4 linked regions of the Danio rerio genome follow. The protein of the gene in region 1 interacts with the protein of each later gene in a pairwise test. Links are inferred from orthologs where the notes say so. Each region holds a gene or a part of one and is shown on either strand. Other genes may lie near its edges.

Region 1 (4,263 bases):
CAATGGTCCTTCAATGTCCCCAGAGACTCCTCAGGACATGCACAAAACCTTTATTAATGAGATGAGGCAGCCAATGCTCCGGCAGGGCTACATCCCCATCCCTGTCTGTCATGAAAACCCTGAACCCAGGCTGCAGCAGTATCCTAGTTTCTCCTACATTCATCCAGCGGTGCAGCAGAATCTGAGAACAGATGGACGTACACCTTCCCCAACGCCAGCAGCACACTGTCGGCCTAGATCTCCAGTGCAGACCCCATCAGAAGCATGTTCGTCTTGCTCACCTACTTCACACGGGCCTGAGGTAAGATCATGAGAAAGCAATCTATAGAAGTGGCAGTCTCTGTCTTGGGTTTATTGGGAAAGGTTTGCATTAAGAGGATAGTTCACTGTAAAATTGGTTGTTAATTTACTTGCCCTTGGGTCATCGAATATGTCGCTGAGATTTTCTTTAGTAGGATTTTAAAGAAAATATTTAGCTAAAACAGCAAAAAAAGGATATCGAGGCAAAACAAAACAGATATCTCCTGTTGATATATTGAGGTTTCGTGAAACGTGAAACAAAACTTCAATCAGTGCAGGAAACTAAATATTATTTACTATTACATTTATGGCACAGCCTAAAGAAAACTTTTAATTTATCTCAGAGTTAAGTCAGAATAAATGAATAGCTAATTTTTTACTTTTATGAAAATTTCTTCATTTGTAAAATCTTCCTGATGCCCTGACTTTTCATTTAAAAAAATGGTGTTTAATAGGGTGTTGAAAAATTACATCTGATGAAAATTGTATATAAGCATTTCATTGCTGAGTCTCTGTTTACTATTTAGCTTATTCATTCATTCATTCATTTTCCTTCGGTTTAGTCCCTTTATTTATCAGGGGTCACCACAGCGGAATGATCCGCCAACTGACTCAACATATTTTTTACGCAGAGGATACTCTTCCAGCAACAACCCAGTACTGAAGATCACCCATACATTCTCGCATTCACACATACCTGTACACTATGGCCAATTTAGTTTATTCAATTCACATATACCGCACGTCTTTGGACTGTGGGGCAAACCAGAGGACCCGGAGGACATCCAGACAAACATGGGGAGAATATATATATATCTAGAATATATATACAACAGTTCTGTCTGGTTCCCGGATCTGATTGGCTGATAGCAGTGCAATATTCTGCAATCGTACAGCCTCCTCACCCTTATGTATTACTCCACCCACACAGAGTGACAGTAGATCAATAAACTCACTACAGTTTGACAAATATTGCTGCTGTTGGACAACATAATGTACTTTTGAGGCTTTTTAGGCAGAATGTAGTTGTTTAGATTACAACTATGCAGTTTATTTATAAGAATAAACCCTATTTTAAATATTTATAAGATACCACGCCATCCACCAGATGGCGACAGAGACTGCATAATAAGCTTTTAGAGGAGAAAAATTACAGCTGATCAAATCATTATAAAACTGTTAAGTGACATTCTAAGGCCCAATCCCAATTCTATTTTGTACCCCTATCCCTTCCCCATGCCCCTTAAAACTGAGTGTAAAGTTGAAGGGCTGAAAAATTTACTCCTAAGAAATGGGACACCACTACAGCACCTGCACACGTCATGATATGCCATCGCGAGCTCTTACTTCATAGGAGATCGTCGATCGTGACTGCTGTAGTTATTCCAGTTGTGTTATTTTTTGTAGACCTCCTTACTTCCGGGTGCAGCTATGTTACCGTTTTAGCTGGTGTATTTTGGAAAATTTTCTTACCCCTTGGTTTCGAGTGTAGTCCGGAAAAATCTCAGTTCGAAGGGCTGTCTAACCCTTCCCCTTAGCCCTACGCCTTTAAGCTAAAGAGAATTGGGACACCCCTACCCCTTCACGGGAACTCGTCAAACGAAGGGTAGGGGTAAGGGGAAGGGCTAATGGGGTAGAATTGGGATTGGAAGTCGATCGCTCTCTTTTGTATGTTGTAGTGCTGTATTTATACCATAGTAATTGTAGTGTGTTGAGAGTGAGAAGGGACTCACATATTAGGAATGTATTTTGTGTTGGCCACTCTTTGTATAACCCTGGGCTATCTGTTTGTTTCTAATGAGTCTCCTGTTTTTACTACTGTAGACTAGTACAGTAAACAGAAACAAAAAAGAAATACCCGCATGTCTTAAACGTTTTTCTTTATCACAAACACAACAGTAATCTGGTAGTGTTTGTGCTGGGTTGGCTTTTTTGGGGATAATTATTGTGTTATTTACTTAGTGTTATATACTGATTAAAACAGAGAAATACAAGGAAATCTGTAGACTGATGGCATTTCATGCTGTTCAGCCTTAGAAAAATTTAAATGTGAGCAAAATCACCTGTTTTGTCATCACTTTAGATATTACACTAGAGAATCATTTAAATACAAGCTCTAAAATGACATGTGAATGAGCAAGGGTTTCTGCTTTTCTGACATCAGCTGCAGATGTGAATGAATGGCGGAAGAAAGTAGTTCCTCACACAAAAGAGCCTGCGGCCTTGTGCCAATGCACACCTCCCACCAGTGCTACTCGTGTTTTTATATAATCATAAACTGCAAAAACAATACAAGAACATTACAATATTAATTTTAAATAAATATTTTCTATTTTAATATATCTTAAAATGCAATTATTATTCCTGTGAAGGCAAAGCTGGATTTTCAACAGCTGTAGAAATTTGTAGTAAATTTATATGTTGTAAAAACTTTCTAATGTTTGTTTGTGACATTTATATAAATACAAGTGTTGTTAAGGTAAATTTTGACCAATTTAATGCAGACCCAAACTCTGTTTTTATTTACCAAAGGGATATCAACCACAAGGGACCCACCAACAAATCAGTGGCCTTCACCAGCAGCCCAGATCCAGCAATACAGGTCTCCGGGCAGGATACATCCCCATTCCGGTGATCCATGAGGGTGCCGGGGGGGTCTTGCCATCCCAGCTTAGCCAAAGTTCTCATCCCACTCGAGAAAAAATCTACCGTGAACAAGTGCCCATTCAGATTCAACAGAACCGTGCTGCCAGTCCCATCCAAGTCCCCTTAAGAGCCCAGTCGCCAGTCATGGCTCAGATCATGGGAGAGAGGCCTCAGGTATGTGTGTTATTTATCAAGAGGATATTTTACTGAAAGATGAAAAAAAAAAAACATAATCTAAAGAAAAGTGTAGCCATTGACATTGATAGAAGGAAAATTTTCATTTTAATGGCTACAGGTTTCTTCAAAATATCTCCTTTTGTGTTCAACAACAGAAAAAACCTTAAGCATGTTTGAACTAATGGAGGATGCATAAATAATGACATAATTTTCATTTTTGAATGAATTTTCTGTTCAAAAGTGCACTTAGCAATTTTTGAGAAATGCTTATGACACCAGTGTCTGACCGATACCCAAAACACACTTGCAGCCAATCTTCAGTAAGGGGTTTGTCTAGTAACACTAGTGGAGAATTCAAAAAGGGCATGCCATGACAATTTGTAACCTTTTGATTTAGTGGCTAATTTGTATGAATTTGTATGATCTCATTTGTTAGATTTATTATGGTTTGCTCATCCCCCAATGACGGTTGGGTTTAAGGGTGGGGTTGGATGCTATGCCTTCTTTTTAAAATCTTACGTTTACGTTTGACTGAACTCGTACAAATTTGTGCGAATTAGCCACTAAACTGACAAATAGTAAAATAGTTACATTTCCTTTTTTGATCAGGCTGGTTTGTTTTGGCGTATTATTTTTCAACATAGGCTCATTCTGAAAATGTAGCCCTATGTACGTTTCTGGAGATCGCGAATTATGTAGCCAGAGCTATATATGGCTGCATTTTATCTTTAAAACAAACGCTACTGACTACCTCCAAGTGGACAGCTTTCATGCTGTTGCTAGTTTGTCCGGTTAGCTCACCATGTACGCCAGCAGACTTGAGACGAAAAGAGGAGTTGACCACGATGAAAATAAACATGTAAACAATATGGTAAGAATGTGTAAAAAGTATGGTAAAATCTGAAAACGCAGTAAAAAATCTGGCGAGGTCTTTTCTTTTTCTTGATTGCTTTTTAAAATTGTTGATTGGGTTTAGGGATGTGGATGGGCAGGTCAGTGGGTGCTTTTAAAAATATTATTGGTTGGGTTTATGGAAAGAGGAGGGTGGGTCAGCTGATCGGTTAGTCACTCAGTCAATCAGACAGTCAAATAGTCAGTCAACAGCGGCCTCTGGTGGATTTACATAAAAACAACAGGAGC
Region 2 (4,263 bases), on another chromosome or scaffold:
TGCTGGACAGAATCTACTGTAAGTCAACTTCAGAATTTGTTGCAATATTAATTTTCTCTGCTTGCTTGGTATCCATGCAGGTTCATATCCACAACAAGCTGTTTACCCTCAGCAGAGCACAGCACCCGTTTACCCGCCTGCTATGCAAGTCCCTGCTCAGGTGTCTCAGTATCCAGATGCCCCTCCTCCATACTCCGAGGTTACCACTACTAACTCTCTCTCTCTCTTTGCTTATGTAAATGAGTTGCAGTAGGAAAGGCTTCACAGAACAATGTCTCGTTATAATCAAGTGTTATATTAGAAGCATTTTTTTAGGATTCAGTGTCTTCTTTTAATGAAGTGTCCTGGATTTTATATGAATATACTTTTTTTTTATATTGGATTTGATGAATCATTTTCTGTGATGCAAGAGCTGCCATTTAGAAGGACAAGGGCAGATTTAGCAAAGAATTAGTCAATGCCAAATTCCCATTGGTAAGAGATATTCTAGACAGTTATAACAGATAAAAAGGGGCAAGTCAATACAGCGATTTTATTATGAGTTGTTTCTAAAACCTTAATTTAAAACTGCAGTGATAAAATAACATTTAATTGTAAATTTAAAAATAAATAGTAATGAATACCAATGATTGATGAATACATTGTACTAATCATAAATTTAGACTTTATACAACTGCAGAATTGAATTTCTGTTTATCAGTTCAGTAGCATGTCACAGCATCATCTCATTTGTTAACTAATTACATTTAGGCATTTGGCAGATGCCTTTGTCTAAAGCAACTTACAATTTACTTAATATTTACAGGTGTGTGCAGAATAATTATTTAAAAAATCTTTTTTATGCTATTTTTTAATGTAAAATTGTTTGTGTTCACAGTAAAGTGTGGGATGCATAAACAAATCAATTGTATAAAATACAACCTGAAACCTCAAACAGAGTTTTAAGACTAGATTTGGTGATTTTTCCCAGATGTCGTATTGGACATACAGTTGAAGTCAGAATTATTAGCTCTTTTAATTTTTAATCTTTTCAAAAAATATTTTCTAAATGATGTTTGACGGAGCAAGGCAATTTTTACAGCATGTCTCAATATTTTTTTCCTCTGAAAAAAGTCTTAATTGTTTTATTTCGGCTAGAATCAAAGCAGTTTTTAATTTGTTAAAATCCATTTTCGATATTATTAGCCCCTATAAGCCATTTATTTATTTTTGTGTTGATAGTTACAGAATAAACCATAGTTTTACAATAACTTGCCTAATTAACCTAACCTGCCTAGTTAACCCAATTAACCTAGTTAAGCCTTTAAATGTCACTTTAAGCTGTGTAGAAGTGTCTTGAAAAATATCTAGTCAAATATTGTTAACTGTCATCATGGCAAAGATAAAATAAATCAGTTATTAGAAATGAGATATTAAAACTATTATGTTTAGAAATGTGTTAAAAAAGAATCTTCTCTTCGTTAAACAGAAATTGGGGAAAGAAATAAACAGGGGGGCTAATAATCCAGGGGGGCTAATAATTCTGACTTTAACTGTACAAGAATAACCCATGCTTTTTTGCTTAAAGGTGAAGACCCTACTCAATGTTTGTACCGCAGTATATTATACTGCAATTCCTCTCACATTCAAATACATTTTTCCTCTTGATTCCCGAAGACTTTTTTATGTATTTAAATCTCTAAAGGACGTTTTTAGCAAAGTGACACCAGGAAAAATGTTACATTTTTATCAAGTAAAAATGTATTTAATGTATATATTCATTTGTTTGTTGATTTTTAATTGTAAATTTATTATTGAAATGTTCTTGCCATGAAAATAGACTTGGCTGCTAACATGGCGTTAAATAAAAAACACATTACATTACAGTTCTCAGTACATGAGTGATGCATAATATCAAGAGGTATGAATTTACTTTTAAATGTAAATGAGTAAATATGGGTATATTTTGAGGGATTGGGACATCTTATTTAGGCATTTTTGTTTTTCAGGTGATTTTTAATCAAGTGACGCCTAGGCATGGGCCGGTATAAGATTCTGGCGGTTTGATAACCTTGGATAAAAATATCACGGTTTTACTGTAATACGGTATTGACATTACTGCTTTAAAATATATTCTTTTAAATGTTTGGGTTCCCCTTTGAACACAATATATGGTATTTTGAGAAACACTTAATATTTTGGAGCAGTAAACATGTCAGACTGAATAGTTTAAATGAATCCTTGACCTCTGCTGTCTTCAATTGTTTCAAAACACTGATTTTTTTAACCATTTAAAATAGCAACGTTGGACATCTTTTCTGCTGGAGATATGGTTGTTCTAAAAAAAATATATATATATATATTTATATATATATAAATAAAAAAATCATACAAATACCTTAGGAACGGTATAGCAAAAAATTGACGGTGTCTACCAAACTGCGGTAAACGTTGAAAACGGTTAATGTCCCATGCCTAGTGACACCAGATCTTTATTTGTTTGTTTTATTTATTTATTTAATTTAGATATTTCTAAAAATTAATAGTCATGGCAGGCACTAAACTCTTAACCAGAGGTGCTTAAACACACTTTTCTTATAAAAGGCCCAAAACCTTGACTGATGCCCCATTCACACAGGGCTTCAGCGTCAACGCTTGACAGAGGGTGTGTCTGAAGTTGGGGCTGATGCGATCATCATAGCAGCGTCAGCCAATGAAATTAGTCAGCAATAGGCCACTGTCTAAACTGGTGTATTTGCATACAGCGATCTGATTGGCTAAGGCTTCCGTCGGCACTTGAAATGTTGAGCGAAGAGTCCACAATGCAGTTCGGCAACACCTGATGTTACTTAATTCAAAGTGAATGGGAAGCGTTGCAGCTGACGCCCCGTGTAAATGGGGTGTGAGGGCTGTGGGTCGAAGTTAAAAATACCAAACTGTATTACATTACATTTGCCATGGAAAACTTCCTAATTGATTTGCTAATATTTAAAAATAAAAATAAAACATTGCTTTTAAACATTTTTAAACATGCAGTATCAGATTTAACATGTTATAATAAACTTATTACAGTTAAAACAAACAATCCCAGTTATTAGACAATGGTGTTCAATGCTGAATACACTAGTGGAGCTACTTCGGCCTTTGTCTTGATTTGCTTGCCGATGTCTTGTGCATTGTCTTTTATCTGTCAAGTGGCAGTAAAAGTCTGATTCATTTACAACATTTATATGAAACATTTCATTTTAGTTGGCTTTTTTTTTGGTAGCTACTCAATTAAACAAAGAAACTAAGGCATTCACCCCAACCAACTCACCGTCATTACTGTTCAGATGGGATGATGGGGCTAAACCAAAGGTTACCATTGGCCAACTTTGGCCCTACTTTAGGCACCTCTGCTCTAAACAATCAAAACTAAGATTTAAAATGCCATTGTCTTTCATTAGTCTAATTAACTTCAATTAAAACAATTGAAGTCTTGATATTAAGTGTGAATTATACACTTTTTGTTATCACCTACACAAATGTTTGAAATAGTTTTCTCTCCTACCTGCAGGTTTATCAGCCCAGATATATGGCTCCCCCTCCAGCCCCTGGACAAATGCCCCAGATGACCTCTGCTTACCCTGGTACTCAGATGTACATGCCCATGCATGCCCAGACTGTGCCAATGGGGGCCATGGCTTCTAGTGTCCCGATGGCGTATTATCCGATGGGGCCCGTGTACCCTCCTGGCTCCACTGTCATGGTGGATGGTGGATTTGATGCTGGAGCTCGCTTCGGGCCTGGCACTGGTAGTTCCATTCCGGTGAGTATATGTCCCCTAAACATGATGTGTTTTATCAGCCAAATGAGATTTCCATTATATTAGTCAAGCTCAGTTTATGCTTGAGGGTCACAATGATGAAAACTTTTAGAAATCTGAAGAAATCTGAATGACATGAAAAGACATGATGAGGTTGTTTACACAAGATGCCATATCAGACGCTCAGGACTCACTCATAGACATTTACTCAAAGGATAATTTAAAACATACTATGGAAATGCTTTATTTTTAATTTTATCAGTCAATGATTTTTATCCTTATTTTTATCTCCACCAACATGTAATTACTGTCAAGCTGCTCTCACCATAAAACACATCATATTAGATTGTGAATGTTTAAGGACAAGATTTTATAAAGAAAACACTTTGAAAGATGTTCAATAAAAAGTTTCATCATGATGAAGTTATTTATAAAATCATATTTAACTTTTAATAAACAGTTATTGTGAATTGTATTTA
Region 3 (4,877 bases), on another chromosome or scaffold:
TGTGATTCACTAAAGCATGTATTACACAAACTAACGTTAACATACCAAAAAGGTTACCCTCCTGTTGGTGAATGTATAATTTGCACCTTGGGCACAACCCAGTACTGGAAAACACCCATACACTCTATCATTCACACACACATTCATACACAGGGCCAATTTAGTTTATTTAATTCACCTATAGCACATGTCTTTGGACTGTGGGAGAAACCGGAGCACCTAGAGGAAACCAACTTGCGGAGAACATGCAAACTCTATGCAACAGCACTAACCACTAAGCCACCATGCCACCTTAAATTAATGTACTTTAGTTTAATTTTTGGGAAACGTTTTTAAATGACAAAAATGTAATTTATATTGAGTGCTTGTGCTTGATTTGAAGAAAACCATTAATTTTATAATGCCTATCATTTTATTTCACTTTGAAAAGTAATTGCTTCACTGTTGTTTTTTCCTCCATCTTACACACAATGGGGTATATGCACACAAACTTTTAATTTCAGTCAGTCAGCCCCATTGCTTCCGGTTAATTGTCATCCCAAACTAAATTGCAGCGTTTAAGATCTGATTTCTTTAAATAACAGCAATCTTCACTGCCTGGCTGAGATGCGATATATAGTGGGTATCAGACCTAGCATAAAAACACTGCATTAATTTATAGACTATTTTTCCACACCATGTCATTAAAATATGGAAATTAATTTTTCCTCAGTATTTTTTTTAAAGTTTTTGCGCTTACTCGCTGCTAATGACGGCGCCTGCATTTAAACGGTTTTTATGCTTTACCAACCAAATATTTAACTGAATGTATTGTAATTATATTACAACATCGATGCTGTAAAAGAAACCTTATGAAATTAAAGCTTTTATAAAGCTTTCGCTAGAAGTTTATCATTGGCTAAAAAAAACTAGCTGTGCATATAGCTTATTGATAAATTTAAAAGTTTGTATGTTAACAGCACACATTTCAGCGTATGTTATTACTTATCTAAAAGAAACTTCTTTCATCATCAAATCTAAAAGTATACTGAGGTAACTTAGCTCACCCAAAATTTATTTTTAATACATTCTTATAAAGTCTATCCACTTGTGTGCCATTTTAAGTCTTATTTGTTTTTAACCATTAATTAAAAACTTTAATTTGTACTTTTTTACCTCACTTTTTTACTTTGTTAGTACACTGTAAAAAATTCCACACAATTTGTTCATTGTCTCAACAAATTTAATTGGTTTAAACATAAAACAATTAAGTTGCCCCCACAAATCACAAGAATTGTGTTGCTTCAGCTTGAACAAGCAGTTTGTGTATTTCTACTTCCACTTAAGTATGGTAGGTCATTTGAGTACTTTATACAGCTCGTGATAATATTAACTTGCATATTTAATTAATTGTTACTTATGTGATAAAAACCATGCGGTAGCCTACTGTTTGTTTCGTCGCCACAGATCTGTCCATTAGACAGTCTGACTGGGTCCTGGCTTAGCACAGCTGTGGCTCCATTTTATGACCTTTAACAACATAAAAGACATATTAAGTAACTTCCGAACAAAAACAGACAAAGGACGTAGTAAATCATAATTTGACATCCACAAAATCGGCAATGTTCATCTTCCTCTCCTGTGGGCGGCAGCACTGCGATGACAAGACGATGTTGAGGTGATTTCAGCAAAAAGAACTGCTTCCGTCTGTACACACGCCGGGGTTCATCATGGCGGCGGGACCGATTTCAGAACGAAATCAAGGTATATTTGATAAATTTAACTTTTTAGTGAAATTGTTATGTAGTGTTCGGGGTAAGTGATGGATTGCAGCATTATTGAACACCTTAAGTTCTTCCTATGTTCTATGATACAGTCAAATCGCTCATTTTCATTCATTCAAACATGTTGGCTTAACAAATAAAAACAAAGAAACGTTTGAGTTTTGGTTTTAATGAAGTGTAACAAAACAATCATGCATATTTCAATATGCTTATTATTATCGGAATTAATAAATTGTATATAAATAATGCATCTAACGTTAAATAAAATACTATGTTTGTGTTCAGTGTTGTCATTTATATTGATCATCTTTTATCTGCAGATGCCACTGTATATGTGGGTGGTCTCGATGAGAAGGTCTCTGAGCCTCTTTTGTGGGAGCTTTTCCTTCAAGCTGGTCCTGTTGTAAACACACACATGCCCAAAGACAGAGTAACAGGACAACACCAGGGTGAGTTACCACGTCTTTAAATCCATTGGGGTAAAGTTGCTTTTATACTCCCTCATTCGGTCTTTCCTCTTAATATAATTTAGCAAAAGTATTCTTTGCAAATTATAAGAAGGAAAATGACATTAGCAGTCAAAGACTATCAAAGTTCAATATTGTTCACAGACAATGAAATAGTTGCATTATATTTTAGACCATATATTCAAAGTAGCGTGGTAAACAATACAGGAACTGTGTTCCTAACAAGTTTGCATAATACCAGCCAGTGGCTGCTAAATATCTAGTTTTGCTCAATCTTACGTTTGTTTGTGTTGTTGACATTGTTGAACAAAACCCCAGTTATAAGTACTGATTTTGTTTTTATTTGTACTTTTTATTATTTATTGTATAATTTTTTTTTACCCAAATCTTGTGTTTGTTTGTTACAACTGCAATTCTGCACACTTACTTTTGCATTCATAGGCTGCAGACTTGGAAGTCCACAAAAACTGATTGAGGTATAATTGGTTTTATATTTGCACATTCTGACTTTCTCCTTAACTATATAATTTCAGAAAAATATTATATTTAAATTCTAAACAGTGAAACCATATTAGCAGCCGATGACTACAACACTGTTCACAGACAATTAAATAGTGTAATGTTGTTTGTAGTGTAATACTTGCATGCAAATTTAGACTGAATATTGAAAGTAGTGTGGTAAACTATATAGTAACCGTTAAAATGAATAAATTTGCGAATGTAAAACCTTCTTTACCTCAATCAAAAACTGCCTGTGTGTTATCAAATCTATCCTACAGAGAATTGATATTGATTTTTATCTTATTATATTTCACAACAAGGGACGGTGTACATTAAATTTAACTTATTTTTTGTTTTTAAGACTGTAAAGCACTTTGAGCAGCCTTCTGATTGTAAAAATGTGCTATATAAATAATTTGATTGATTGATTGATAAATCAACATTGCCTAATATTGTAAATGTAGTCAAATTAGTACTCAATACTCAAATCATATTTGAGTAATTCTTATGTATTGTATTAAGAAATTAAAGTGTATTTTAACATTGAATGCATGTCAGGGTTCAACGGCAAGGATTTTGTCTACTGGGCCGATCGGGCCAGTGGTTGAGATTTTCACTGCCCCCACCAAAAACAACAAAAAGTTAATAGTTATGTCTTAGCCACATATTTTAAATAATAATAGAATTTAAACATTTCAAAAATGGTAATAAATGTATAATGAGCAAAATTCAAGATTTTATGCCAACGAAAGAGCAGTATGGAAAAAAAAGCTGGTATTTTATTGCAACTCTAAATTATTTTTATAAAAATGGCTTGCCAAACTGACAACCTTTTTTTTTTCTCTCTCCAGTTTCTTAATTTTGTACACATGTATTGTCTGCTTCCAATACTTTAGAAACAGACATTTTCTTTTAGCCTCATCGTTTGATGTTGCTGCCATTTTGCCATGTTTTCGATGTACTTGTTGTGACCAGGTTACGAAAAAAATAACGTGCGATAGGGGCCAGTAACAATCCTGTCTACTGTCCCGAGCGCCTTTCAAGCTGGCCCCGGGCCACCGGGCAGTCCTTATTGTTGAGCCCTGCATGTAAAACAAAATTAGGAACTTTTAACAACCTAATAGGATCACTTCAAAAACTGGTATCGCTCTCTCTTCTTCAGGTTATGGCTTTGTGGAGTTTCTCAGCGAAGAAGATGCGGACTACGCCATAAAAATAATGAATATGATCAAACTTTACGGCAAGCCCATACGAGTCAACAAAGCTTCAGCGCACAACAAGAACCTCGACGTTGGTGCCAACATCTTCATTGGCAACTTGGACCCTGAGATCGACGAGAAATTACTTTATGACACATTCAGCGCTTTCGGTGTGATCCTTCAGACCCCCAAGATCATGCGAGACCCCGATACGGGCAACTCGAAGGGTTACGCCTTCATCAACTTTGCCAGTTTTGATGCGTCAGATGCGGCTATCGAGGCTATGAATGGCCAGTATCTGTGTAATCGGCCCATCACTGTTTCATACGCGTTTAAGAAAGACTCAAAGGGTGAAAGACATGGGTCAGCAGCCGAGCGTCTCCTTGCCGCACAGAATCCACTGTCCCAGGCCGATCGCCCACATCAGCTTTTCGCAGATGCTCCACCTCCTCCAAGCATGCCCACGCCTGTCATGACTGCCCTCGGAGCAGCCATGCCTATTCCAGGTTAGAGATGAGAAACATCTTAATGACATGTTGCAAATGTTTTTCACATTTCCAGGTTCAAAGTCGTCAGAGTTGGATAAATTTAGAGTGAAGTGAATGGGAGAGTACAACAAATATTTTTTATTCACAATCCTGTTTGCTGAAATAGTAAAAGAAAAACTTCACTATGGTGTTATCAAGACTTTCAAGAAAGAAAAGAAAATAATGTGAGACTGATAACGACAGACAGAAAATAGAACAACATCAAATTTACTGTCCTGCCCTATAGACGCTGCATTTCAAATGCCACACATAGGTGGTAATTTAATGCAAAGATGATGTAGCACATACATAAATACATAAAAATGTTAATAGTTTTTAAATAATCTATTAAAAATATATAAAAAGATTTAAGATAGGGCTGTATGATATTGGAAAAATGTAATGTAACCCACAGTTCCT
Region 4 (5,042 bases), on another chromosome or scaffold:
TGAATTGGGTAGGCTAAATTGACCGTAGTGTATAAGAGTGAATGGTTGTTTCCCAGAGATAGGTTGCATCTGGAAGGACATCCGCTGCGTGAAATATGTGCTGGATAAGTTGGCGTTTCATTCTGCTGTGGCGACCCCGGATTAATAAAGGAACTTAGCCGAAGAGAAAATGAATGAATGTATGATGAATTTGTTCCAGTGATTTTAATGATGAATTTTCCGCTTCATTACTTCAGTCTTCAGAGTCGCATGATCCTTCAAAAAATAACTCTATTATAATTATATTATTATTATATAGTATTATTAATGGTAATAGAAATAAAGCAATAATGACGGGACTAATGATTTCATTTGAAAATACATTCAATAAGTAATAAATAAATATTTAATAAATAAGTATAACAATTTAATTAAAATAGCATCTTGATGAAGGCTTAAAAAATATAAACTTTTGACTATGTAGTGTATATTATATACAGAGTATTATCTATATATAGTTTTGTGTAAAAACTATAATCAAACATTAAAATGTCATTTAGGAAAAATAATAATTTTAATATTAATAATAATAATACAGTGCAGATACACTTGCCTCAATTTTAGTAATTATGCATGATATATTTCTGAGGGACATACTGGGAGAAATATTTATAGTCCTCAGATTGGTCAAATATAATGCTTCAGATTCTTCCTCCATCTACCTCACAATAAGTTTATTACTCAACAAAAAATAATATCACATATTCAATAAACAAACAAAAATATATGGATTTGAATATATATTTTAAACATAATTATTATTAATGTTGTATTTTTGGTCAATTAAATCTAATTGTTTAAAATTAAATCATGAAATTTAACATGAAATTCATAAACATAATTTATGTTGTTTGTTTTTTTATTATTCCAGTGTTTTATTAGTTTATAGTGCATAACATATAATTTAAAAAAATCATTAGCAATTCCCAACAACTGGAATTGAAACAGCAAAATTTTAAAAAGCCCTTTTAAAAACAAAGTGAAAACTAAACTCTTGGCTTGGCATCTGTCATGTGTTAGTATTAGCTACTTTTTACAGTCTAACGCCTCAGTTTGCACTCATATGCAGTCTGTTAGAGGACAGTTTCTCTGAAGACTCCTATAAGGCTGTGTGGTCGCTCCTGCTCCAGGCGGGATCCTGCCCGAGAAGCCATCCTGGAGTGAGTCCGCAAACGCGTGCTAGTCTGCACCCATGTAAAGGAACTGAGGTCCCCACAGCTGCGCAGGTGAAGGATGCCGGGACGTTTGCGCAGTGGCAGTGTCTTGGAGGAGTGCTCCATCTTTGTCTGCCTGCGTAGAGAGGACTGAGCCGATGACACCTCTGAAACAGTAATGGCCTGCAGAAATTCAGGAGAGTACAGGACATTAGTGGAAATAAAAAGCAGAATACTGTCTACCCTACAAAACATTATAAGTATGTAAATCAGGAACCCTGTTCCTAGAGATCTACCTTCCTACCTTTCTACCTAATTTCCCTGACAACATACCTTTAAACATAACTGCAAGTGACAGACATCACAGTCCAAGCACAGCCCTTTGGGCAATTGGTGTTAAAAATACATCAAATTGACATCAAAATGGATGTCAAAGAACTGGTTTAAATACCAATCAAACTGATGTCAAAATCATGTCATGGTGCATGATTCAATGCACATGTCATGTATAAATATGATGACAAATATTTACCCAAAAATGCTTAAATGAGCATTAAAGCTACTAAGCTATAAGGCAAAACATTTTGCAGCCATGGCTCTTGGTAATCTTGTAAACAACTTGACACATGTTGATGTTTTGAGAATGTTTTGTCATCAAGGTGTCTAAATGGTGTACAAACACTGGCATGGATGGACAGAATCTTTAAGCGAAGTAAAAAAAGTAAAAAACTAAATCCTCAGTGAAAAAGAATGTGAATTAAAACTGAAATGTGGATTGTAATAAAATAATTAAAATAAACAAATACTGTATGTATATGTATATATATATATATATATATATATATATATATATATATATATATATATATATATATATATATATATATATATATATATATACATTCATTTTCTTGTCGGCTTAGTCCCTCTATTAATCTGGGGTCGGCAGAGCGGAATCCACACATACATGTAAAATATCCACACATACACTACAGACAATTTAGCCTGTACTGCATGTCTTTGGACTGTGGGGGAAACCGGAGCACCGAGAGGAAACCTACGCGAACGCAGGGAGAACATGCAAACTCCACAAAGAAACGTCAACTGAGCCGAGGATCGACCCAGCGATCTTCTTGCTGTGAGGTGAACATGCTACCCACTGTGCCACTGCGTTGCCCTTATATATATATATATAAATTCAGAATTATGAGCCCCCCTTTGATTTTTTGATTTTTAAAATATTTCCCAAATGATGTTTAACAGATCAGTGAAATTTTCACAGTAAGTCTGATAATATATATTTTTTCTTTTAGTCTTCTAAAGAAAGTCTTATTTGTTTCATTTTTGCCAGAATAACAGCAGTTTTTAATTTTTTAAAAAACATTTTAAGGTCAAAATTATTAGCCCCTTTAAGCAAATTTTTTTCTCGACAATCAACAGAACAAACCATCATTATACAATAACTTGCCTTATTACCCTAACCTGTCTAGTTAACCTAATTAACATAGTTAAATAAGTAGAAAAATCACATGTACATAAGTATTCACAGCCTTTGCTCAATAATTTGTTTATGCACCTTTGGTAGCAATTACAACCTCAAGTTTTTTTGAATATGATGCTACAAGCTTGGCACACCTGTCTTTGGGAATTTTGGCCCATTCCTTTTCGCAGTACCTCTTAAGCTCTATCAGGTTGGATGGGAAGCGACGATGTAAAGCCATTATTCTTTGTACGGACATTAGAGGTGTACACCTTTGAGGCTCTCACGTCTTCGGTGTAAGCGCACAGTCAGGCCTTATTCCGTAATCACTCAGCTTAGATGACCTGCCAGCTCTAGGAAGTGTCCTGTTGGTTCCAAACATCTTCAACTTACAGATGATGGAAGCCACTGTGCTCATTGGAACTTTTAGAGATGCAAAAAAAATTCTGTAACCTTCCCAAGCAGACAATTCCTTTGTCTTCATGCTTGGTTTGTGCTTTGACATGCACTGTATACCCTGGGACCTTATATAGACAGGTGTATGCCTTTTTTAAATGTCCAATGCTGAAAAATCTCAAGAATGATTACTGGAAACAGAATGTACCTGAGCTCAATTTAGAGCTCGACGGTAAAGGCTGTGAATACTTTTGTACATGCGATATTTGTTTTTTTAAATATATATATATATATATATATATATATATATATATATATATACATTTGCAACAATTAAAATAAAATCACATTATGGGTGATTGTGTGTTAAATTTTGAGGAAATAATTGAATCCATTTTGCAATAAGGCTGTACCAAAAGAATTTGGAAAAAGTGAAGCGCCGGATGCACTATATATATATATATATATATATATATATATATATATATATATATATATATATATATATATATATATATATATATATATATATATATATATATATATATATATATATATATATATATATATCACTACTAAGAAGAAAAAGAAGAAGAAGAAAACGCTTTAAAGTCACAACAAAAACTTTAAATGCAGAAGAAATCAAGAATCTACTACTACATTTTGAACAGATCAATATTCATTTTATTTGCTTACTGCTAAATAAAAAATAAATAGAAAAACAAAGACAACACTTCCAGACGTGCACATATCTATTTGCAATGGCAAGAAAAAAGTAGGCTCAATGAACATCTATTTCCAAATAATTTTTTTGACTATACTTTCAGATATTAGTGTTTACAGTGTTAAACTGTAGCGAGCTGGATTCAAACACAGATTTTCAGTGAATGTCTTACCTGGTCAATGAAGCTGGCACATCGAACGGCCTCCTCCATGTGTTCCTCATCTGAGCGCAGGACAGTTTTAATGCTGTTGACGAGCTCCTGCACCTCTGGTGTCAGGCTGCAGGACGACTGCTCTAGAAAACGAGCCACCAGCAGTTTCGTGTCTCTGTAGCTCTGGTAGTCCACCAAAGAGTTGGGGCGAGGCTTTCGTTTACCACAGCCCTGTCGTAGTGTGACAGACCCGTTCTCTGTTCCAGTCAGTGAACCTGGGGCAGGAGCTGGACTAGGGCCTAATTCTGTCTGTGTGGCTGCTTCACAACTCATTACTGAAAGACAGAAAGAAACCATATAACAGTGAGAGATAGTGACGCATGTCGCATGCAAACATTTAACCCTATAGCATTAGTCTTCTAATTTCTTACAACCAAAAATGTGTGTGTCTATCTTGCTGGTCATTTGTGATGCTAAACATTCATTTTATTTTACTGTAGTGTCATTTCTCTAACCAAACTAAATATAATTTTATTATTATTATAAATAATTTTATTATTATTATTATCATAAAAATCATGTATGAAAACAGAAGATCAAGGGTTTTACAAAGTTAAACAAATGTGCCCGATTAGACACATAATTATTTTGCTTTATTCCACAGATGATACAACATCAACCTCTCCTACCCTTAAGACTGATGCTTTTTATGTAAACCTTTATTCTCTCTTTATGTGTAATCATGTGTTTTGCGACAAGTCTTTTGCCCAAGTATTAATACTTCTGCATGCAATGTTTAACTTTACCACAACTGAAACAAGATTATAGATAGTTTATGTTTGATATCCCTGCAAAGCTAATTTGGTGTACTGAACGATTGTTTACATTGTATGTTAATATGTGTGCAACATATATAAATAAAAAAAAAAAAAAACTTTAAACATTTTTGCATTAGCTTATATCCAGAATGTATACGCAAATCACCATGCTTTGAAACAAAAGAATATAAAACGTGATTTGCGAAGTTAACTTCCCATTGGTCAACTCGACTCCTGAGGGATGTTACAAGACCACTCTTATAGATCTGGTTTCTAAGGC

Evidence for each region.
Region 2: the proteins of bag3 (region 1) and dazap2 interact in binary tests that used the Homo sapiens proteins (3 or more experiments, as listed by UniProt). The two-hybrid records come from large-scale screens. The link is inferred for Danio rerio from reciprocal best matches to the Homo sapiens genes BAG3 and DAZAP2.
Region 3: the proteins of bag3 (region 1) and sf3b4 interact in binary tests that used the Homo sapiens proteins (3 or more experiments, as listed by UniProt). The two-hybrid records come from large-scale screens. The link is inferred for Danio rerio from reciprocal best matches to the Homo sapiens genes BAG3 and SF3B4.
Region 4: the proteins of bag3 (region 1) and fam189a2 interact in a two-hybrid assay, tested with the Homo sapiens proteins (2 studies listed by BioGRID and IntAct). The link is inferred for Danio rerio from reciprocal best matches to the Homo sapiens genes BAG3 and ENTREP1.

Annotation. Positions count from the first base shown.
Region 1 is NC_133188.1:28,710,630-28,714,892, forward strand, and holds part of bag3 (BAG family molecular chaperone regulator 3), read left to right. Parts: coding exon 1-301; intron 302-2,832; coding exon 2,833-3,120; intron 3,121-4,263. UniProt on the Homo sapiens protein: Co-chaperone and adapter protein that connects different classes of molecular chaperones including heat shock proteins 70 (HSP70s), e.g. HSPA1A/HSP70 or HSPA8/HSC70, and small heat shock proteins (sHSPs), e.g. HSPB8.
Region 2 is NC_133198.1:36,679,834-36,684,096, forward strand, and holds part of dazap2 (DAZ-associated protein 2), read left to right. Parts: intron 1-80; coding exon 81-199; intron 200-3,535; coding exon 3,536-3,787; intron 3,788-4,263. UniProt on the Homo sapiens protein: In unstressed cells, promotes SIAH1-mediated polyubiquitination and degradation of the serine/threonine-protein kinase HIPK2, probably by acting as a loading factor that potentiates complex formation between HIPK2 and ubiquitin ligase SIAH1.
Region 3 is NC_133194.1:8,478,499-8,483,375, forward strand, and holds the start of sf3b4 (splicing factor 3B subunit 4), read left to right. Parts: upstream 1-1,681; 5' UTR 1,682-1,709; coding exon 1,710-1,743; intron 1,744-2,083; coding exon 2,084-2,212; intron 2,213-3,893; coding exon 3,894-4,436; intron 4,437-4,877. UniProt on the Homo sapiens protein: Component of the 17S U2 SnRNP complex of the spliceosome, a large ribonucleoprotein complex that removes introns from transcribed pre-mRNAs.
Region 4 is NC_133180.1:56,862,764-56,867,805, forward strand, and holds the end of fam189a2 (endosomal transmembrane epsin interactor 1), read right to left. Parts: intron 4,280-5,042; coding exon 3,966-4,279; intron 1,377-3,965; coding exon 1,113-1,376; 3' UTR 881-1,112; downstream 1-880. UniProt on the Homo sapiens protein: Functions as an activator of the E3 ubiquitin protein ligase ITCH in the ubiquitination of the CXCL12-activated CXCR4 receptor. Thereby, triggers CXCR4 endocytosis and desensitization, negatively regulating the CXCL12/CXCR4 signaling pathway.